Lytechinus pictus: one gene and its partner. The protein of the gene in region 2 interacts with the protein of the main gene of each other region in a pairwise test. Links are inferred from orthologs where the notes say so. Each region holds a gene or a part of one and is shown on either strand. Other genes may lie near its edges.

What was found. The genes of interacting proteins can lie anywhere in the genome.
Region 1: the proteins of replication factor C subunit 1-like (region 2) and replication factor C subunit 3-like interact in a two-hybrid assay, tested with the Caenorhabditis elegans proteins (3 studies listed by BioGRID). The link is inferred for Lytechinus pictus from reciprocal best matches to the Caenorhabditis elegans genes rfc-1 and rfc-3.

The regions. Positions count from the first base shown.
Region 1 is NW_026974140.1:12,517,907-12,529,190, forward strand, and holds the start of replication factor C subunit 3-like, read right to left. Parts: upstream 4,508-11,284; 5' UTR 4,413-4,507; coding exon 4,326-4,412; intron 218-4,325; coding exon 80-217; intron 1-79.
Region 2 is NC_087245.1:40,462,908-40,473,762, forward strand, and holds the start of replication factor C subunit 1-like, read left to right. Parts: upstream 1-5,742; 5' UTR 5,743-5,902; coding exon 5,903-5,911; intron 5,912-7,566; coding exon 7,567-7,747; intron 7,748-9,103; coding exon 9,104-9,294; intron 9,295-10,112; coding exon 10,113-10,236; intron 10,237-10,807; coding exon 10,808-10,855.

The DNA.
Region 1 (11,284 bases), on a different chromosome or scaffold from region 2:
CCCAGATGCACTTTGAATAAATCTAAACTTTGAATGAAGACTTGAAACTGCTTCTTAACCATTACGTGCATATCCTTACCATGAAAGTTTGATGTTCAATTCTAAGTTTTTCTACTCCTGATCCATACAGCTCCCTTAGAGCACACATAATCCTAGTCTTCTTCCCTGCACCCGATGGCCCATAAACCATCAAGTGAGGGAAATCACCCGATTGCACCTGTGTAATAATGTTAAAAAAACAAAGGCTTTTGAATCCATCATCCTCTGGCAGTCTTGCCTGCATTACGCGATTCAATATACATGTAGCAGCAATGCCAACTTTGAAAACAACTATTGAATAATGATTCACAAAAAACACCATTCATATGATAATAAAACACTATATTCATCCGACTGTATTTTGACATTTGGTTTCCTTTTATAGTTTAGTTATTTGTACTTCTAGGTTTTAGCTTTGGTATTTAGTTCAGCTTTGTTTACATTCTTGATGCTTCCATTTGACTTTCAACCTGCTTCTCTAGTCATTCTTTTCCTATTCAGATGTGTCCATTACATTCCCACATCTGATTCTTTTGTTCAACATTCTTATTATGTAATCATCCCAATATCTTATTCATCTCCATCCTCTATCTCTTATTGGTTATTTTATACACTTTTCCACTTTCAGTTGGCTCCTCTATTTTCTTTATTTTCATTGTTGATTTTGTGTAATTTGAATATTTACTAATTTTATAATGCAATTTTGAGTTTTAACGAGACAAGGAAACCCAGCAAATAAATCAGTGCACTACCAGACTTCATCAAGTTTAGTTCAATTATGTTCCTGTCTTCCAAGTTAAGTTCCATCTCCTTCTCTCCATCTGCTTGTTTGATGTGTGATTGAGCTTGTGTTATAACTTATCCCCATCTTCAGTTGAACATTTATTTCCCCAGACTGTAGGCCTATTATTTTCATTAACCCTAAATACTTCAAAATACTTCAATCGGCCGATGAATATCATGAATTGTAAAATTTTTGCATTAGCTAATAAATATTGTAAGATATAAATTAGCTAATGCAAATATTTTATAATTCATGATATTTATCGGCCGATTGTCTTTTTGAAGTATTTTTTTTTTATTAAAAAAATTGGCACTGCTCATGATAATGATATCGTTGCCCTCTCTTATACGCGTCTTGTAACTAATTAAACTAGGCTACGAACAAGGCTACGAACTAGGCTACGAACCTCGGTACACTGTCTTTGTTTTGTTTTGTGTTTTTTTTTCTCTGTTAATATTCCCTCTTGTCTTGTTAAATTTATCTTACATACAATATTTGAATCGTTATCTTGTATATACAGTGCGTCTCAAAAAAAACTATACACTTTTGAAATGGCTGCCAAACAAAAAATATGTCACTTTGGGGAAAAATACCTATATACAATGTATATGGAAAGCCAATAAATTAAACTTTCAAATGACACCAAAAAGTTGGAAAACTATTCATGCTTGAGTGAGCACTACCCACTTAAACAAAGGGTATGAAAATTAGGGTGGGCAGGAATTAGCCTTCCAATTTCTTTCAGTTTTTAAGAGGCGAGTCCCTTGGAACTTGCAAAGTTGAGGGTGTTGTGATAAATTAATGATCAATTTAAATTGTTAGAGCAAATTTCATGAATTACTAGATTGAAATTTCATGCATGAGTGAGTGTCAGTAGTAATCTTTAGTGTAGCATTTTAACTTTTTATCATGTGGATCTCAGCAGTGTGTTCATTGAAGTAAGGAGAATAGGGGTGAGATAGGACTTAAATGGGTGAAGTAAGCTAATGGGTAAAAGGTCAACAGAATGTTTAGACTCCCTTAGATCGAGACTGAATGCTATTACATGTACGCATAAAGTCCAGAGCCGACTGTCAATTTGATAAATTTTGAGAATTCGGTCATCAACTTTTACCATTTGATCAACAATTTGTTAGTAAATCAATGTGATCAATTAAACATTCAGCTTTTTCAATAAATTATCAATCAATTATTCAGCTTTTTCAATGAATTCATAAATCATCATAATTAGTAAATTTCTTAGAATCATTCAATGGAAAATAAAAGACCCATCAACCATCAGTCACTTAGCATTTAAGTTTTGAATACCATGATCCAGGAGAAAGAGAGAAAGAGGGGGTGAAGGGGAGGGAATTTGTAAGAGAAAACAAAGAAGAACACCCTTTTAACTGTTTAACCCAGTCTTACCCTATCTGACCCCCCTTGCATGCAACAGGTACATGTACCATCACATTACTCTGACTCTCACAAGCACACTTGCTAAGATCCACATAATAAACTTAAAATGCTACACTAAAATTAAAATTCCTGTTTACTCATGCACTGCATTTCAATTTAGTAACTCATGAAATTAGCCTAAGTAAAACCAAAAACTGATCTCAATTCATCAATAATTTAGCATGACACCTTTAACTTGGCAAGTTCCAAAGGACTCACCACTAAACAAAACTGGAAGGCTAATTCCTGCTCGCCCTATAGCAAAGGCTAGTCTCTCAGGATGGGAGGAAGGGGTAGAGAGAGAGGGGGGGGTGGCTTGTTCTGTTGGCCTTTGTCCCATCAACCTTCTTCCCCCACCTAAGTCATATCTCATCCCTATTGTGACTCCCATTAACACATTGCTGAGATCCACGTGAAAAGGTCAAAATGATGCTCTAAAAAAATGTAATTCATGTTCACTCATGCATAAATTTAAATTGGATAATTCTTGAAATTAGCTCTAAGAACCTAAATTAATAATGATTGATCATTAATTTATCACATTACCCTCAACTTTGCAAGTTCCAGGGGACTCGCCTCTCAAAAACTGAAAGAAATTGGAAGGCTAATTCCTGACCACCCTAATTTTCATACCCTTTGTTTAAGTGGGTAGTGCTCACTCAAGCATGAATAGTTTTCCAACTTTTTGGTGTCATTTTAAAGTTTAATTTATTGGCTTTTCATATATATAGGTATTTTTCCCCAAGGTGACATATTTTTTGTTTGGCAGCCATTTCAAAAGTGTATAGTTTTTTTTGAGACGCACTGTATATATTTTTGTATGCCATGGGTATCAAAATATTGACTTGATTGTATTAATTTTTTATAGTGCATTAATATACAAATAATGCATGCAGCCGAGTGCGTTAGTGGAAATGCAGAGCACGCGAGGTTTCTTTAGATAGGAGTCGCACTGTGCACGAGCCGCTTGCGGCGAGTGCCCAGTGTGCTCCATCTGAAGAAACCGAGCTTTCCCTGCATTTACTTTTACGCACGACAGAGCAAGTGCATTATCTGTTTTATAAAATAGCAACACAGAAACAATTTTTTAAAAAGTTACAGTACAGTTTTGTTGGACTTCTTCTTCCGGGTGTAGTACAGACCTCTGGGTAGAGTATTTTCGTAAAAAATTATTTTTTATTTTTACTTCTACCGCACTGGTTTGCTCGAGCGTGCAATGTCAATTTTCGTTGCACACCTTTTGCACTCCCGTGCAGTGCACAAAAAAAGTTGGATGTCATGTGACGCGTATTGACCAATCGCGATGCTTGAAATAATATAGCTATTTTATAACATACGAAGCTTGACCCCATTAGTATTCTTCAAATATTCTATTGAACATTCTTAATTTCTATTTGTATGATCAATTTTAATCAGTTATTTATTTCAGGGGACTCACATAAACAAGCGAAGCTTTCCAGTGAGTTCCCTTTTTTCATTTCTGTTATTCATATTATGTTTTGTTCCTACTAACTTTGTCAATTTGTATGAAATGAAGAAAAAAATAAATTCAATCAATCAATCAAAAGACGGAAATATGGCGACAAGATCATCTGTATCTGCTCATCTTCTTACATGATTTTTCTTAATTTTTGTATTATTTTTCGTGTAAAAATAAGGTTATAAGTGCCTAATGGGGGGAAATGAACTTCTTTTCCATTTACAAAATTGTGTGATAAGTTAAACAAATCAAGTGATATTTTGGAGCAACCAACATTGGTCATTGTTGACGAAGGCAGAAATTATGCCATGAAAATAAGTCATTTTTGAATTTGAGAACTGATTTCTGCAAACTCTAATCAGTATTTTAAAAAGTGAAGTTATATATCTGATTAGTAATACTTCTCCTTTACAATGATGACCACAACAAGTCATTATAAAATACCTTTGATTCTTCGGGTGTGTACTACGTACTTCAACTAACATTAACACGATTTTCGGTATATGGGACCGAACAAAGGCAAAGCTAGCGACTTCATCACCACATCACCATCGATACTTTATGACCCAGAATACATCTACTCACCAACTTTTTCAGATTTGATGCTTGCTCCTTGTGATAATCGAGCTTGGATAATGACGTTGGTCTGTGTTTGTCCACCCATAAACTCATTTTGATAGTCTAAAATTAATGGTGATTTAGAATTATGTATGCATACAACACTGACTGATCGCGCGAAACTTGCGAATTTCCCGCAACTAAAGGTCATGACCTTTTATAATAGTCTTCGCGAAAATTGAAAAGAGTAATCAATGCCAATGACTGGAATAGTCTTCCTGGGGCCGATTGCACGAAAGGGTCTTTCCAAGGACCGTCTTTCGTGTCGCCCATCTTTTATGATGCGCTATAAGCGGGGTGTTTCTGAAATTTATGATAAACAAATAAAATTCGTAAGCTTGCTTTTAAATCAAATTTTATACAATTTCATGAGATATCACATCATTTTATAAACAAATATTTTGTTTATTTTAACGGACAAATAAAATATATTTGCAGATAATTTATTTGAAATGCGTTTCACATGGCGTATCATAAAAGATGGGCGACACGAAAGACGGTCCTTGGAAAGACCCTTTCGTGCAATCGGCCCCTGAAATATACAAATGCCAACAACAGACAAATTTAAAAGAAGTATTGATATATTTTGGCAAAATAAGCACTTTGAGCTTCCATGACTCCTCACGCAAGCTCATGAAGTAGTAGTTTTCAGCAATATTAATCCTACAAGAAGCGACCGGGCCTTCATCCCGTATCGATATTTAATTTCGTTCAAGGTGGGTGGATCGCAATTTTCGTTTTAACGCATCTTCTCGATCAAAGTAGGGTCCATGATCAAAGTATTGTAAATAATAAATAGTCCAGTCAATCTAGCCAGAATAGGGGGGTAACCCACCACTAATTGCAACACGAGATATTCCACTGAAATGCTTTCCAGGAAGGTCCCCTAAACAACATACTAAAAGTCCCAAGAAATCCAAGCAGTGGAAATTTATGAAATTTGCATATTATGCAAATTAGCCATGAAAAATTAGAAAAAGAAGGGAAATAATCCAAAGATTACAAATTAAATGTCCAAAACAATTTAATTTTAATGGAAATTCATGATAAATAACTGAATTCAATGTTTTTAATCAAAAGTGCAAAAATTTCTACCTCATTTGCATATTATGCAAATAAGCATCCTTATATGAAAAAAATGTCAAGATATTGTGATTTTTCTCATATAGACTGCTTGAAAACATTTCATTAATGTTGACATTAATATGCTACTATATCACTAAGCATGAGAATTCATCCCAATGCCTGAAAATTAATTTGCATATTATGCAAATTAGCCATTAAAAAAAATGAGGAAATTAATCCAAAGATTACAAATTAAATGTCCACAGCAAGTAATTTTAAACAAAAGTTCATGATGAATAAATAAGTTCGATGTCTTTATTTAAAAAAGCTAGCAAATCTGCCTCATTTGCATATTATGCAAATAGGTATCCTTATATGGAAAATGTCAAGAAATTTTGATTTTTATCACATTGACTGCAGTGAAAACATATCAGTTTTTCAAATTAATATGCTGCTATCACTAAGCATTCAAATCTATCCTAATATGGTTTATATTCAAGGAAAAATACTGGAAATATGTTCTTCGCTTCCTAAGCCGCGTTGTTAGTCTGGCAAGATGATGGGATCGGAAAGAACAAAGCACAGTATTTGAACTGGTGTGTAGTTTGTTAGAGTTGACAACCCTTTCTTATATGGATGGGAACGACTTATACTTTGTTGAAAATTCACCGTATGAAAATGATAAAGGGAGGCCAGGAAAAGCAAACTTATGGCAGGTAAGATCTGATGAGTAGTCTCATTGAGAAGTGTAGCAGAGATTCCGTCTGGCCTAGAAGCTTCATGCAGGGTGTTTTCTTTAACAATTTCTTCAGTAGTCTGGCTACACCTGTTTGACTAAACAATATGTTATCTGGCCATATCTGGGTCAGGACTGGGTCACAGGACTTGTAGAGCAGCGTCATCATCATCATCATCATGATCAGTGGTGAATACTAAGACTAAAAATCTTTGCCTTCCTTTAATAATGCTATTCCAATGTAGTCATAGCTATTGACCCAACATGCTAATTGTTACAGCCTGGATCATTGTCAATCCTGTCAACAAATTATGTATTATAGGTTTGTCTGGTCCTCTTTAATGCATTGTAGCAATTCTGAGCTTTACCTTACTGATGCTTTGGAGCTCTAAAATGTGCAAGCCTTCCTAGCCTTTCTCTAAAATCTTGACATCTTTCGACACAACTTATGTCCATTGTCCATTGAGGCAATGGTTAACGGTGTGTTCTTGTTAAAGTCCTCTTGATTGGCATTCAGTCTCCTATGCTCGCCTTGTCGGATTTCAGTACAGAGAGTTGTATGATTGTCCAAAGTACATCTGCATGACACTATTAAAGTCAGCATTCCTCCAGAAGAACATCCTTAGTCGTACCATAATTACTAAAAGGTTTATTCCTCTGGATAACCTCACAGTGTACCCATGAGTAACACATTGTGGTAAATAAATCCTGGAAGTGGTACACACTTACCCTTTTTACACAGGATTTTCTTAGCCCCGGACTATCGCTAACCCCGTACTATCCTTAACCCCGTACTATTTTTTTTCCTTTTTACACATGCCAAATTGTTATTGCTAACCCCGGATAAGGAATGCTTGCTTTTCACACACGAAACTCGCTAACCCCGGACTAGTGGTTTTTGTCGATCATTCGTAGTACAAGTACTTCACTCGTACCTTTTTACACACGCTACAATTTCCTTAACCCCGTACTATAGGTGGGGCCAAATTGCCATTTAGCCCCACCTATAGTACGGGGTTAAGCTTAGCCCACTTTCGTTTTACACTAGCGATCTTAACCCCGTACTATCGCTCTTAGCACCGCAATTGCTGGGATAACCCTGCTTTTTTGCAGGGCCAAATAATCCCGTACTAAAGGTGGGGTTAGCCCACTTTGCAAAAATGCTGTGTAAAAAGAAAGTGGGCTAAGCTTAACCCCGTACTATAGGTGGGGCTAAATGGCAATTTAGCCCCACCTATAGTACGGGGTTAAGGAAATTTTAGCGTGTGTAAAAAGGGTAACTGTGTAATCAATGTTGGATGGTATTTGATGGTGATGTTAAGGGTGTTCCATTGTGTTGTGTCCTCTTGTTGGAAAGGCAATAATCTGGTTTAGTCCTCCATCTGGTTTGTTCATTGTCTCACTGAGGAATTTCTGTTTACCATAATTATCAGGACATTAATATTATTATTTGCATACGACTTACTTAGAAACTATAGCTTTAATATTTGGAGATGGTTGCCATAGGAGATTTATAAAAGAGGAAAGAACAGAAAATGAATGCTTCATCATGAAGCAGCAACTGGATTCAGCAAGAACGTCTAATCACGATTCCTGTATCTGAGAAAGATGCCTATAATGCACTTTAAGCCTTCATCATGAATTTATGAATGGCTTTCATGTCGCTCGTATAGGCAAATGCCCATTGTTACTCTTATTAAGCATGCCCAGAGATATTGTGATCCAAGCAAGTACTCATATTCACCACCAAGACAAGTGATGATGATGATGATGGGTTCTTGTAAAGCGCCGGTATCCGCCTCAGCTGGGCGCTCATGGCGCTTGCTCAAAAAATAGGAAATATCTCACAAATTTCAATGTCTTCAAACAGTGCTTAGGATCATCATTCAGTTCAAGTACTGTTCTAGTAATACTACAATTGAGTTATTCTTGGGATAATGTTGGAGTGGGGAACAGAAAGGTATACGACTCAAAAAGTTGATTGGGTCTCTGCTCTCCTGATAAATTGGGGAAGGCTATTCCACAGCTTTGGTCCAGAGATGTAGAAGGCTCTGTCACCCCAGGTTGTGTGGCTGAGAGATTCCCTCAGCAATGCTTGATCTGCTGATCTGAGACTGCGTGTTGGTCTATGCTGAGATAAGAGCTCTGATATGTAGGGTGGAGATTTATCGTTAAGCGCTTTAGATACAAGGACCCCAAGTTTATATGTTAAGTGGTGTGCTACAAGGACCAAATATTCGAAGCTAATAGGCTTTTATTTGTACGGGTGTGACATCTTGTGCTGATCACTTGGCAATCCAGGAGCTTGCTAGCATGGGCTATACTCGCAAGATGAGAAACGCAAAGTCTCTACAAAGTAAAGAAGAGAGCAAGACTTGGATGAAAATAATGAAGCATTCAAGCAGTGGGATCCATGTAGAATGGACTCATCATTGTACAATATGAGTGGGGTAACTGCTCGTGACAAAAGTCAATATCAACCAAGCAAGAAGTGAAGGGAAGGTCATCATGGTTAATACACATAATCTACATGGAATTTTAGAGGAAAGTATCACGTATGTGTTTCCTTGAATATTTATATTATGTCGGATGCTTATTTGCATAATATGTAATTTACACTTCAGATATTAAGCTGATTATTAATGTTTTTGCCATTCTTAGTGATCACATCATATTGATCTAGACTGAAATGTTTTCATAACTGTTTTTGTGAGAAAAGTCAAAATTTCTGGATTTTTTTTCCTTATAAAAATGCTCATATATATGCAAATGAGGTAGATTTATTAACGATTTCTTATTTAAAAAATAACTAAATTTGTAAAACTTATCATGGGCTTCAGTTCAATTCGTATTGTTTTCTGCACTTGATTTCCAATATTTTGATTATTTTCCTTATTTGTAATCTATTATGGCTTATTTGCATAAAATGCAAATTTTGTGATTTTCCTATATGCTTATATGTTTAAGGACTTTTAATATGGTGTTTAGGAAGCCTTCCTGTAAGGTATTGCCATATTCCAATTTCAATAGATAATCTACTTGCAATTTTTGAGGGATGTATCACCAGTGTGTTTTCTTGAATATTTATAACATGTTAGATACTTTTGTTTTCATAATATGCAAATTACACTTCAGACACTAAGCTGAATACAAATGTATTCAACGTCCTTAGTGATAGCAGCATGTAAATTTCAATATTAATGATATTTTCAAGCAGTTAATGAGAGAAAAATCACAATACCTTGACATTTTTCCATATAAGGATGCTTATTTGCATATTATGCAAATGAGGTAGATTTTTTTGCACTTTTGACAAAGAACATTGAATACAGTTATTTATAATGGATTTCGCTCAAATTAAATTGTTTTGGACACTCAATTTGTAATCTTTGGCTATTTTCCTTATTTTTCTAACTTTTTATGGCTAATTTGCATAATATGCAAATTTCATAAATTTCCACTGCTTGGATTTCTTGGGACTTTTAGTATGTTGTTTAGGGGACCTTCCTTGAAATAATTGCAGTGGAATATCTCGTGTTGCAATTAGTGGTGGGTAAAACTCTATATTGACTGGACTAAAAAAGGCCGGCGTCAATCGGCGTCAATGGCTGTAGCTGTGACGTGGCCGTTAATTCCTCCCTCCACTCGTTCCTTTCAGGGTTGTGATAAAGCACGTTTTTTTTTTATTTAAAAAAAACTAACCCTAATCAAACGATCGTTATTGTTTTAAAACGTTTGAAATCGTTTTAAAACGTTTATTCAGTCTAACGAATAATTATGCAATGTTCTGTAAATGCTCTGGCCTTACTAGTAACGCATCTATGTTATGTAATCCGGCATAAGAAGGTCCTTACAAAATTAATACTAGTAATCGTTCCACTGATTTGGAAGTGTTATGCGAAGAAATCAGTGAGTCGAGAAATTTAAATCGATCATCTGAATCATTTGTTTGATACCTATATTTACCTTAATTCGGAAAAGTGAGCTGAAACTTAATTTTCTATATCTGAAAGCCGTGAATAATGTTTGCTTTTAGTATGATTTATACACACTACACACCATTAACAGACTAGTTTAATATCTCTGTTGGTGATCCTGAAAGTTGAAGGGGTAATGTTGCCTTAGCTTTTCTTTGCTCCAAAATTAAAATTTTATTACCAGTAGTCCTTTTTTTTATCAATAAAAACCTTTTATCCTGCTAATATACAAGGTAAAATAGCAGGAATGAGAAGTTAAGTGCAGACAGTGTTTTCTGTTTAGGTAAATATTTATACACTTCTTGCAATTATATAACATTTAAATGTAAAGATACTCTGAAAAGCAGAGTATAAAAGCGACCTTTTCCATGTTTTCATAATCATATTATATGGCTATATAAAGCCTCAGTAATTGAATTGATAATATTGATGATTTCATAAAATAATAGGCCTTTAGCTTATGCCAAGAGAGCGAGTTACATGTTTAATTCTCTTATCTGTATTGAGTGGCAGAAAGTGCCAGCTAGAAGAGAAATTTCACATCCAGGGGTAATGTTGCTTTCGCATTTATTTTCTCTATAACTATAATTTATGAGTCCAGTCTTTGATGAATAAGAACTTTTCGTCCTGCTTATAACATACAAGGTGAAATTAGCAGCTAGGAATGAGCAGTTTGAAATTAACAGCACAAATTGTTTTCTTTTGAGGCCAATACTCACACTTGCAAACATTTCAATGGAAACATATTCTGAAAGGCAGATTATAAAAATGAATTCCATGTTTTCATAATCATATATAGTCCAGTAGATATGTGAAAAAGATGCTCGAATCTGGCAGAAAGTGTGAAATTTGGCACACAGGGGTATTTTTGGGCGCTGATTTCAAAAATTGCCGGCCCCAAGCGATTTGACCATCGGGTCGGCCGCCATTTTGAAATCCAACATGGCCGCCATGAAAAATCATTAAATGTAATTTTCTTGAGTTTTATATGAACTGCGGTATTGAAATTTGGCATATAGGCTTAATTTAGGGTGCTAATATAAAAAATTGCCGGCCCCAAGTGATTTGACCATCGGGTCGGCCGCCATTTTGAAATCCAAGATGGCCGCCATGAGAAATCTTTAATGTCATTTTCACGAGTTTTACAT
Region 2 (10,855 bases):
GTGGATAGTGGACGAACTGATGGTAGACCAAATGATAGTAGACGAGTTGGCAATTGGACGAAATGACATTAGACGAATTGGAAATAACCCACCACCACCATCATCATAACCACCACCATACCACAACCACCACTACCACCACCACCATCTCCACAACCATCATCATCATCATCATCATCATCATCATCATCACCATCATCATCACCATCTTCTTCTTCTTCTCTACAAGAACAATTTTGCCCTGCATCACCTTGATCTCGCAAGCCACGCCCAAAGCTTATTAAAGGTTTGGAGCTTAGCATACTGACATGGCTGGTTGCACGTGATGATAGGAAGGCGACACTAACCATGATGATAACATTACATCTATTATGCGCCCTTCTCAAACCATCGACATCACTTTGCCATTCTTTCCTCGAGGTTGATAAGAGATAGAAAGGTTTTTTTTTTTTTTTAATAATCATCATGATTATCGTCAATATCATATTGTTATTTCCTTTAAGTTTTATTGTTTCTTTATCCCCTACACCATAACTTTAAACCAATACTAGATAACATACTGCGCTGTTTTTGCTGGAGTTAACATGGCTGGTTTTTCAACATAATTATATAGCCATGATTATAATAGCGTAGATGATGAGACAATATTGTTTAAAGTTGCAAGAATGTTGGTGAACTCTACGTTGGACTTGATAAAAATTTTGGGGACCTCTGGTGTCCTCCGAAGTCAAGGAAGTTTATATGCCTTTGAATTCCTCCTCTTCCACCCCCCCCCCCCTGCACACACATGTATCTGCATCCACAATCCCGGCATTAGTGCCTGACGTCATGGATATGCTACCAATTCGTTTAATATTCAGATATTATCAAGTGTTGTGACTGTCTGTTAGAGAGCAATATGTTCTATTTAAACACCAGTCATATCATCCTCAGCATATGTCGCAGTGCTTCTGCTCGAGGGCAATGCATGATGCCTACTGGACCATTACCATTTAGAGACGCCAATTAATATTTAGGTGCGGATTCGAGGACGGGGAGGGGCAAATTACACTTTTAGGACTTTTTCGTTAGCATGTCCCCCCAAAAAATGGTACGAGAAAATATGGTAATATGCATCTATACTTTTTTTGTTGGTGTTGATTATTTATTTATTTTATTAGTCAATTATTGAATTATTGGTGTTAAAGAAAGCCCCCCCCCCCCCCGAAGTAAATCTCAGATCCGCCCCTGAATTTTGAGCCAGACCGTCCAATGTAAAAAAAAGATACATAAAAAGCATTGCACCATCGCGCCATCACATTTCCAAGACTTTTTTTTGCACGGGTTAAGTAGCTCCAGCATGGCCAATGCCGGTTACATTTTCTATACAATGGAGAAAAATTAGAAAGAAGAAAGATACACGTCAATCTTGTTACACAGGGGCCGCGGAACGGTTTTCAAAGTGGGGGGCTGAGCCAAAAGTGGGGGGGGGGGGGGCTGACCATGCTAAAAATCACAATCATATGGTCATTTTTACGTTTTTGTACACAGTTTTGGAAAAAAAAGAGGGGGGGGGGGGCTGAAGCCCCCCAGCCCCCCGGTTCCGCAGCCCCTGTTACAAGTCGATACCTAATTCCATAAAAAAAATATATCAAGCCAACAGCATCTGCATCTAGATGTGTGTCACCTGGGAAATGGAATTACATTTGTATTTAAAGGCTGATTCCTTAAATACTTTTTAAAGTTTTATATAATTCTTACTACCTAATATAAATTCGAGGGAATTCGTATACTAGGCCTACATCACAGGCCTAATATTTAAAGACAGGAGTTTTAAAACGCCGGCATTCTGACCAAACCTGAACACATTAAGATTGTAAATCTATTTTATTCTTCTTTCTCCATAATTACAAAATCGTCAGGAAATTTCGTCGGCGCCATTCTACAAACGACAATGGAGCAACAAAACATAAAACAAAAAGGTTGACTGATATACCAAGGAGAGTGATATCTCCTTGGATATACAGCGATTCCGCCGGTGAATGAAGATATTAAACGCCTAAATTGCTAGATGATATCGAAATCATTTCATTTTTATTGCCGAGTGGATTACTGAGTTTTTTTTTCTTATTAGTGATCTCAGATAAGGGAACGTAATTGAATTTCGATTTGTGTTTTTATTGTCGTCAAATTGGGAATCAAAATAGGAAAAGTTAATGACCGACTGCATGGATTCAACGAGGGGGAACGACGTGACAGATGGGTAGATGAAGAATAAAGGGATAGAAGAAGATGGAGGTGGAGGGAGATATAGAAGGAGGAAGAGAAAGAGAGAGAGAGAGAGAGGGGGATGATATAGGGGTGGTTTTATATCAGTACAATTTTGTTTTTATTGTCTAAAGTAGAATCAGATATAAGGTATTGCATGAAGGTAAGTATAAGATAAAGATATTTAAGTTTGCTTTATTATCAAGCATTTTTTAAGAATGAGAAAATAATTTAAACAATTGCAAAATTGATAAAACACCTTTTAGGGGATCTATATATAGGCCTGCCACCCTTTGGCTGCACGGATAATGGGAAATTTTAGTTTTATTAAGCGGGTAAATGCGAATAATATTGATGATGACAATAAATATGTGGGCTTCAATAATAATAATTATCGTTATTTTTTTAAGTAAGCAAACAATTAATTCATTTATTTCATCAATATATACCCATTTGCAACTGTAAGCTCATTATTTTTTGTCTATTATTGATTGGTATTTCTGCATTTGTATATTGAAAATGGGTTTAGAGATCAAATAAACCAATAAATTCAAATTCAATCATGCATGTATTCACTTATTTCTTTTATTAGTTTATCATTATTTTTTTAATTTTTTTTTATTGGGGGGGGGGGGGGGGGTGTGCTGCACTATCCCTACTCGGTCAGTAGTATCAAGGTTGCGATAGCAGTAACACAACGTCATCATTATAAGCATCAGCAGCAGTATTAAAAAAAAAACATCCTGAAAGAAAAAAATACATTGACCCCGCACATGACCCTAAATACTTCTCTTTTTTTTTTTTTGCTTTCTGACGTGCCCTTTAAAGAAATTCTTGGATAAGAGCTGCGGGCTTGAATATGAAATATTGCGACGGACAAGCTAAATAGTCAGTCCTGCATGTATTATTTTATTTCGCTTGCTATGATCAGTACCATAAAGGATGGCAAATTGAGAGATTATACCTCAAGTAATATGACATGCACAAAGTGGACAGATGAATTTGGTATAATTCCGAAAGCAGGTGATCACATTAGGCACAATACAAGAAATCATCACGACGAGAACTGGGCCCCGTTGTACAAAGAGTTACGATTGATCCGATCAATCACAACTATGGAAAGCCAGCAAAGTCAACATATGAAATGCATGTTTGTTCAAAAAAAATTCTAGATATGAATGCAAATCCATAAATTCATTGATTTCTTGACAATTCGGGGTGTTCTCCTTTGATTACAAAGGACATTTGCAAATTTCCTGTAGAAAAAATTATGACACTGATGGATTTCCATAGAGTTACGATTGATCGGATCAATCGTAACTCTTTGTACAACGGGGCCCAGATGTCACTAATGTCCACTCTAAATTTACAGGGATTTTAAATAAATCCACATCGGCGGTAGTCGGTAGACAGTGACCAACCTGAAATAAGGATTTAGATTGATTGACTGATTAATCATGTGCGGGGTCAATGTATTTTTTTCTTTCAGGATCTGTTGTTTTTTATACTCCTGCTGATGCTTATAATGATGACGTTGTGTTACTGCTATCGCAATTCTCCAGAATTTGAATCTAATTAAATTTTGGTCACAACTCACAACCGATCTGTATTTATTCAAAGTATAGTGTCATGGTATCTCAAATGCAGACATTGTTATGAAGGGGAAAAAAAATAGGCAATAGTTCATCTCGCAATGAAAAACTCAAATCCTTTTACAGTTAGATGACAAAGTAACATAATGGAAATTAAAGGCGTAAGAGCTTATGTAAATATAATTGAATACACTGATTTATACTTACTTTTCTGTAGACATCCTGTCTGTTTTGTCTGTTGTTGCTATGAATCAGATGACAGACCGCGGGAAAAAAAAGAGACACAAAATTGAGAATCCCAGCTGTGAATGGTTCGGTTGGGCGGTGATCGCTTGCTACTACCTGCCCTGGTTTCACGAACTATAGACGTGTCCAAGACAGTTGGTTGGAAGAAATTGTGATTGTTGATGATTTTCAGAGAATGAGCATTGATGAGCTCAAGTGTGGACCGGACGATTGCTCCCTGATTTGAGATTTATTGAATGACAAAAGGATGATAGTTCCCAAATACGTGATTTTACCTGGGGTGCCCTGTAATGAGGTCAGTATTAAAGTTGAGCCTGTCACTTTCTCAGGCTGGCGGAGCGAGGGGCAGCGGATGGCTAATAATGAAGATCGAAGTTCATGTTTGGAGGTGCACGCCTATACGGATCAGTGGGTATGGTATATTAGAAAGTGGGAGATAGTGATGGAGGGGGAGAGAGATGGAGGCAGAGATAGAGAGAGATGGAGAGAGAGGGAGAGAGAGCTAGGGATTGACAGACGGACACACACCCCACCCCAGTCAGTCCGCACAGCGTATGTATAATGCGGGATGTAATGGCACGGAGCCCGTCAGTGTATGGTGGGGCCGGGGGGGGGGGGGGGGGGGAGGCATGCATATGCAGAGATTGAAGAAGAGAGTTTTAGAGAGACTTGAGAGAGGGAGGGTGAAAGAAAAGAAAGTGGTCATTGCTGGATGGGCGGGGCGGGGTCGGGGTAACTGTCAGAATTTAAACGCTCTTCCAAGACATGATCCTTAATTTGGATCAGGAGCGGCGCCAGGGTATTTGACGGGTGGGGCGAGCTGATGGTGATGTATTTTTTCTTCAATTGAATATTAGGTCATATTAATAACAATTACAAACGACCAAAAAGTCTCTTCTTTCTTTTTTTCCTCCCCTTCCGTCTTTTCGTCATTATTTTTGCTTAATTCTCTCCTATTTTTTTCTTTGTATTCAAAGCTTGAAAATTCATAGGGGCAGTCGCCCCTGCCCTCTGCTGTGATTGTGGTTATTATCATTATTATTAATTATTAATTATTATCATTATCATTACTATTATTATTATTATTATCATCATCAACATCATCATCATTATCAATTAATTATACTATCATCTATACTTGTTTTGTTTATATTGATTGTCAAAATACATCAGAGCTGGGCTATTGGTGTTGAAGTTAGAAAATTAGGAGACTTAGGATCCAAGTCGTGAGTCACCAGGCCATGTATTTGTTGAAAGCACTAGAAAGGGGGTCCTCCCTAGTGATAACGGCTATCGTAAGCAGGGTCATAAGGCACTGAAAGTCCCGCAGGAATGAAAAAAACCCCATAAAGCCAATTGAAGAACTCGTCGCGTTTTAAGTGAAAGTTACAAAAATGAGCAACCCCCTCTATCTCCCCCCTCAAAATAAGGAAACGCATTCTTCATCACTGATCCCCAACACTTTCATCTCGTAATGGTAGACAACTATAAAAATAACAAAAATCGGAGAGATGCCCTTTTCGAAAAGTTTTCCGAGTTTCCTTTCCCTCCATCCCCTCCATGCTGCGCTTGGCCACTCCCCTTCCCCCTCCGATCAATCTCTGGCATATCACGTGATTTATAGTGCGATCAGGTGATCATGATGGGCTGGCCCCCCATTCATTTCAAGTTTTTATTCGTAATCTTTACGAATCGACGGGGAACAGCGAACGCAACTTCAGCGCGCGAGCGCGAATGACAACAACATGGGTTAGTAGTTCGACTGAGCTGAGCTGAATTGAATTGAATGACGGCTTATGTCAAACAGCTGATTAATCATGTCGATGGTAAATATTCTGAATTGCATGCACATTTTAATGCTTTGACGTAGGCCTATGGTTACTTTTAGACATTCAGTGATTTCAAATCCTTTCGTTGAAAAAATGCCCTTTCAATTTGAAGTTGAAACGGAATTAAATAAAAAATTCGAAATTGTGTCCTGACCATGATGACTCGTCGTGATGCCTGATGGTCCCGTCGTGATGACGAATTGAGATGGGAATTGGACTAACGTTAGGTTTTTCAGGCTAGTTTCAGTGTCATCTGATGCAAAGAAGTGATGGATGAATGTGGAAAACTAGAAGAAACCTAACGAGTGAATGAGGGAGGATATGGTTGGCCCAGGGATCTAGATCTAGCTAGCTAGAGTAGAGTCTAACTTGTTGAGTTAGAAATTTTTGTTGCAAGAAAATATTTGCGATCAATTGCAAATATTTTGTTGCAATTTTACAACATACTTTTTAGATCAACGTCAGTTATAGCAAATCAGATTTAACTTCTTGTTTCAAGGAGCAGATTAGCAATCACTAATTTGCAATTTACTGCAAGACATTTGAGTGATTTAGGGACCATATATAGATCGCAATTGATCGCAAGTTTCTTGCAACACGGTACACCCGAGTCGATCTCGATCTGTTCTTACTGTCTTAGTTAGATCAAGATCTAACTTACACATGTCATGACATGCGTGACCCAAAAAACATGTTTTTAAACTAAAGTCTATATGTCTGGTCGCATGTGCACTTGTTAAGGGTATAAAAAACAATGATTTTTTTTTAAAGGTGGTTCAGAAAGACTGGTCAATCATGGATGGTCAATTATGTTCAATCCCGGGGTCAAATGTATTAGGGTAATTTTTTCTTTCCAAAGGCAAGGCTTTTTTTTTAAGAGTAGCCAAACGTGTTTAGAACTTTAGGGTATATTTTTTCCCAAGCTTTTTCCCTGCATGGGGCCAAAATGTGTAAATGAAGCCTGTGAAAAACTTGTTCAGGGGTTATTTTGCACACAGAGAAAATCTTGTTTAGGCCCATGTTTGGAAATAATTTGGTCACGCATGTGTACAGCAATATATTTGACTGGCCCCATCACCCCCACCCCCCCCCCTCAAGATGGTTGGCCAGGTATTTATTTAGTACAGACTTTCACTTGTGACTTTTTCAAACCCCCTCTGTGAAAAAAAAAAAGATCCAACTAACGTTAGTTAGAGTTGTAAAATCTAGAATCTTGACTTGTTTAGAACTATTTGACTATTTCAAAATGTAACTTTAGGGTCTGAGTTGGAGATAGTGAAAATACACTTGACAGTGGAAACAAGACTTCAAAATTGCAAAATTAATTGCATTTTATTTTCCCAGTTGATATGCAGTATTTTTTAATGAAGGAAAGGATTGGTCGAAATGCATGCCAAAAGGCTTAAATCATGAAAATGAATGTTTGACAGTTTGGTAATGATACATGTTTCCGTGCAGTCATGACTATAAACTAATGGATGGATTCAAATGAAGAGGGGGGGGGGGGGATGGGAGGTGGGGGGGTGAGGGATTGCTCCCATGTAGTACATTTTACTAGTGGCCAACCTGCTAGTGGCATGCAGTCATGTGCATGCACTGACAATGATAAAGACAGACTTGATCTAACAATAAATTTATAAATCATATTCCAGGACATTCGATCCTTCTTCGGCAGCCCAGGAAGGGGTAAGTCTGCATCCAGTTCAGCTAAGCAGAGCAATGGCAAGGGTAAGAGAAAGCACAATGACGATGACGGAGACTTCGTGCAAAGTGAGAAGAAGCAACGCCACTCGGCCAAATCAATGAAGAAATCCAACATCATTTATGACTCTGGTAAAGTGAAGGTGTTAATGTACTTAAATGAATGATTCACATCCTGTGTGTCTTTCATAAATACTAAACACAAGGATGAGAAACTGTCTTGAATTCTGAGAAAATTTTTCCCTTCAATGAGTACATGAAATAAATACAAAATTATATTCATGTCTAGTACTCTGCTCCCATCTTCTCTTCTTTTGTCATATTTGCAAGACTTGTATCAGAGTTACTAGCAAGGTGAATTAAAACATTCAAGAGTTCAGGTTAAAATGTAACCACATAATGGCCTCCAAAATTTACAAATTAAGAGAATTATATACATAGTAATAGTGGAAAATTAGTATAGACGGGGAATGATAAAATAAAAATCTAACATTTATTAAAATGAGCAGAAAGGTTACCATGCTGTTTACGGATGAGGTATTCTTTGTTATACACTGCACTGTATGAAGCGAGGTTTAAAGAAAGCAAAGTCAGGGATTTATTTTGAAGTTTGCAGAGATAAAGTATTTTAAGAAGAGAAAATTGAATAAAATAAAGAGAAAACTTGTCAGGGCATCCATATTTTTTCCTCCATTTTGAACCTGTTGACTTAAAATTTTCAGCATTTTAGGTATCAAGATCTAGTAGTGCTATAAAAAAAAAAATCAATGAGTGGGACAAGGAAAAATTAAATTAAAATCCCAAGCATGTTGGGCTTGATCATTTGGTAATCTACACTGAGTGATGAGTGAGAGGCTTTGTTGGATGCCAAAAGAACTTAATTGCTTTAGAAGCATGATCATTCATCCTTTCCCTGACATTTCATTTTCTTGCCTCAGACATTTTCAGAAATGAATGTAAATTAAGGTTTTGAATTGCAACAAATCAATTCAATACCTAATAATATAATGTTCAATATATTATGTTGTTAAATATTATAAGTTTTCATTTCATTAGTGATGTAACTTTAATGCATTGATTTTATTTGTTATAATTTGTATTAAGTATTTTAGGATTAAGGTTTAGGTTTATTGTATACATGTAATTCAGATCAGGTTTAATGTATAATTTAGTAATTAAATATATTTTGTAAAGCGCATAGAGAATCTTTTGACTATTATGCGCTATATAAATTTCAAATATTTTTATTAGTATTACCTTGAAGTTTAAAACAGGAACATGATCATGAAACTTGTTCCTAGTTTCAAATTTTCTTGAAGTGAGGTTATAAAGTGTACAAAAAGTGTGCAATTCATAAATGCTTTTTCTCTAGAAACCCTTGTGAACAGGTTCAGAAGGCAACCCTCCTATTCATCATAATCTACACAATTTTTCCAAAATATTCTTTACCTGTTATGTTAGTTTCACTTTTACATTGAACATTCATAGACTCAGACGACGAACCACCCCAATCCAAAAAGTCAAAGACCCCTGTGAAGTCAGCCGATTCCAAGACCAGTAAGGGACCGGCCAAGCTGCCTCAGCCGACCCCAGAGAAGAAGAAACCCACCTCGGTGATAGATTTCTTTGGGAGCTCACCGGTCCAGAGGTCTGCAAAGAAATCCACAAGGAAAGATCAGGTACGACAGTGTGGTCCTCTTAGGATTTGGCACAAAGGAGTTTTCATAGGACAAAGTTGCAGATATGTTATAGTTGTGGGAAATATTGAAACAGTCATTGAGCTATCAAATTCTTTCCATGATATTTAGGAGAAAATATGCATTGCAAAGCATTGATTGCACTTCAAAATATACATATATATATATAAAAAACATCTGGAATTGTCGGACCACCAATTTGGGTGTAGTCCTATGCATGCTTATCTGCGTGAAGTGCACGTGACTGTTCGAAAATTGAGTCAGATTTTTATCATTTTGATGGTTATATCACTTTAAAGCAAACACACTTGAATGTTGTATTCTTTGATTCATTATAAACAGCATTTTAATAGCAATCACTTTTAGAAAGTCTACTCCATTATTCAAATTTACAGCATGAACATATTGTAATAATAATAATAATAATAATAAACAGTTCTTGTATAGCGCATATCACGATTATGAATAATGTCTCTATGCGCTTCCAAAGGACTTGGATATTATTACCCCAGCTGTAGCTTGGCAGCCGTAATTACTTGTAGAAGATTAACTTTCGTAGTTTCAATTCTTTTTCCAAGATGTGTTTCGTAAAATATATCTTTGTAGCAGAATGAGTATCTGGCTCAGAAGGCAGTTGACAGGTTTATTAGCTTATCTACAAGATCACCTTTATATAACATTCTTGCAATAAAATTTGCCTTTTAATATATATTTGAGCTGTTTTTATTGATAAATGAATCTTCCTGTAAACATAATTGACAATAGTTGACAAGTTGATCTGCCTATTCACCACCTTGCAGCCAATCCCAAATGGAGGATCCAAGAAACCAAAGCTTGAGAAGGAGGAGCATGATGACGATGACTTTGAAGCCACCCTCAGAATGATGGATGAGGACAAGTCACCTCATAAAGAAGACAAAAAAGGTGAGATTGGAAGAAAAACAAATCAAAAGACAAGACAAATATCAGACAGAAGTCCCTTGCTTTATGGTCCATTAATAAATAGAACAGGCTACAAGACTACCGATCTACCAACTGAACTATTATGCCTCCCAAAACCCATTGCAAAAAGAGTTTTTTTATTTTTATTAACATGTAACTCTAAAAGTCAAGTTGAAATTTGAAAGTCAAATTGCATAATATGGTAATAATGATGATAATGATAATAATAACAGCAACAGCAACAATAATATGCAGCATGTCACTTAGTACAATGTTTCTAACATTTACATACCCCTGCTACCTTGATCATGTGCTTGAGAATTTAACAAATTCCTTCTTACCGAGAACCCATTTACTACACCTGTGTCGACTGTGGCAAATATGCAAGGACGAGTGCCATGGTGGGATTCGAACCCCGGACCTTGTGGTTCACAGTCTGGATACTTATCCACTGATTGCAACTGTTTCTGCAAAGGGCCTTATGTTTTTAGAATTTCAGCGATATATGGCAATAATAACTTTTAGGAGATGATATCCTCTGTTATTTTTATAGGTAAGGGTAAAGGGCTTGCAAGCAAATTGGCAGCTAAGGTGAAGGCGG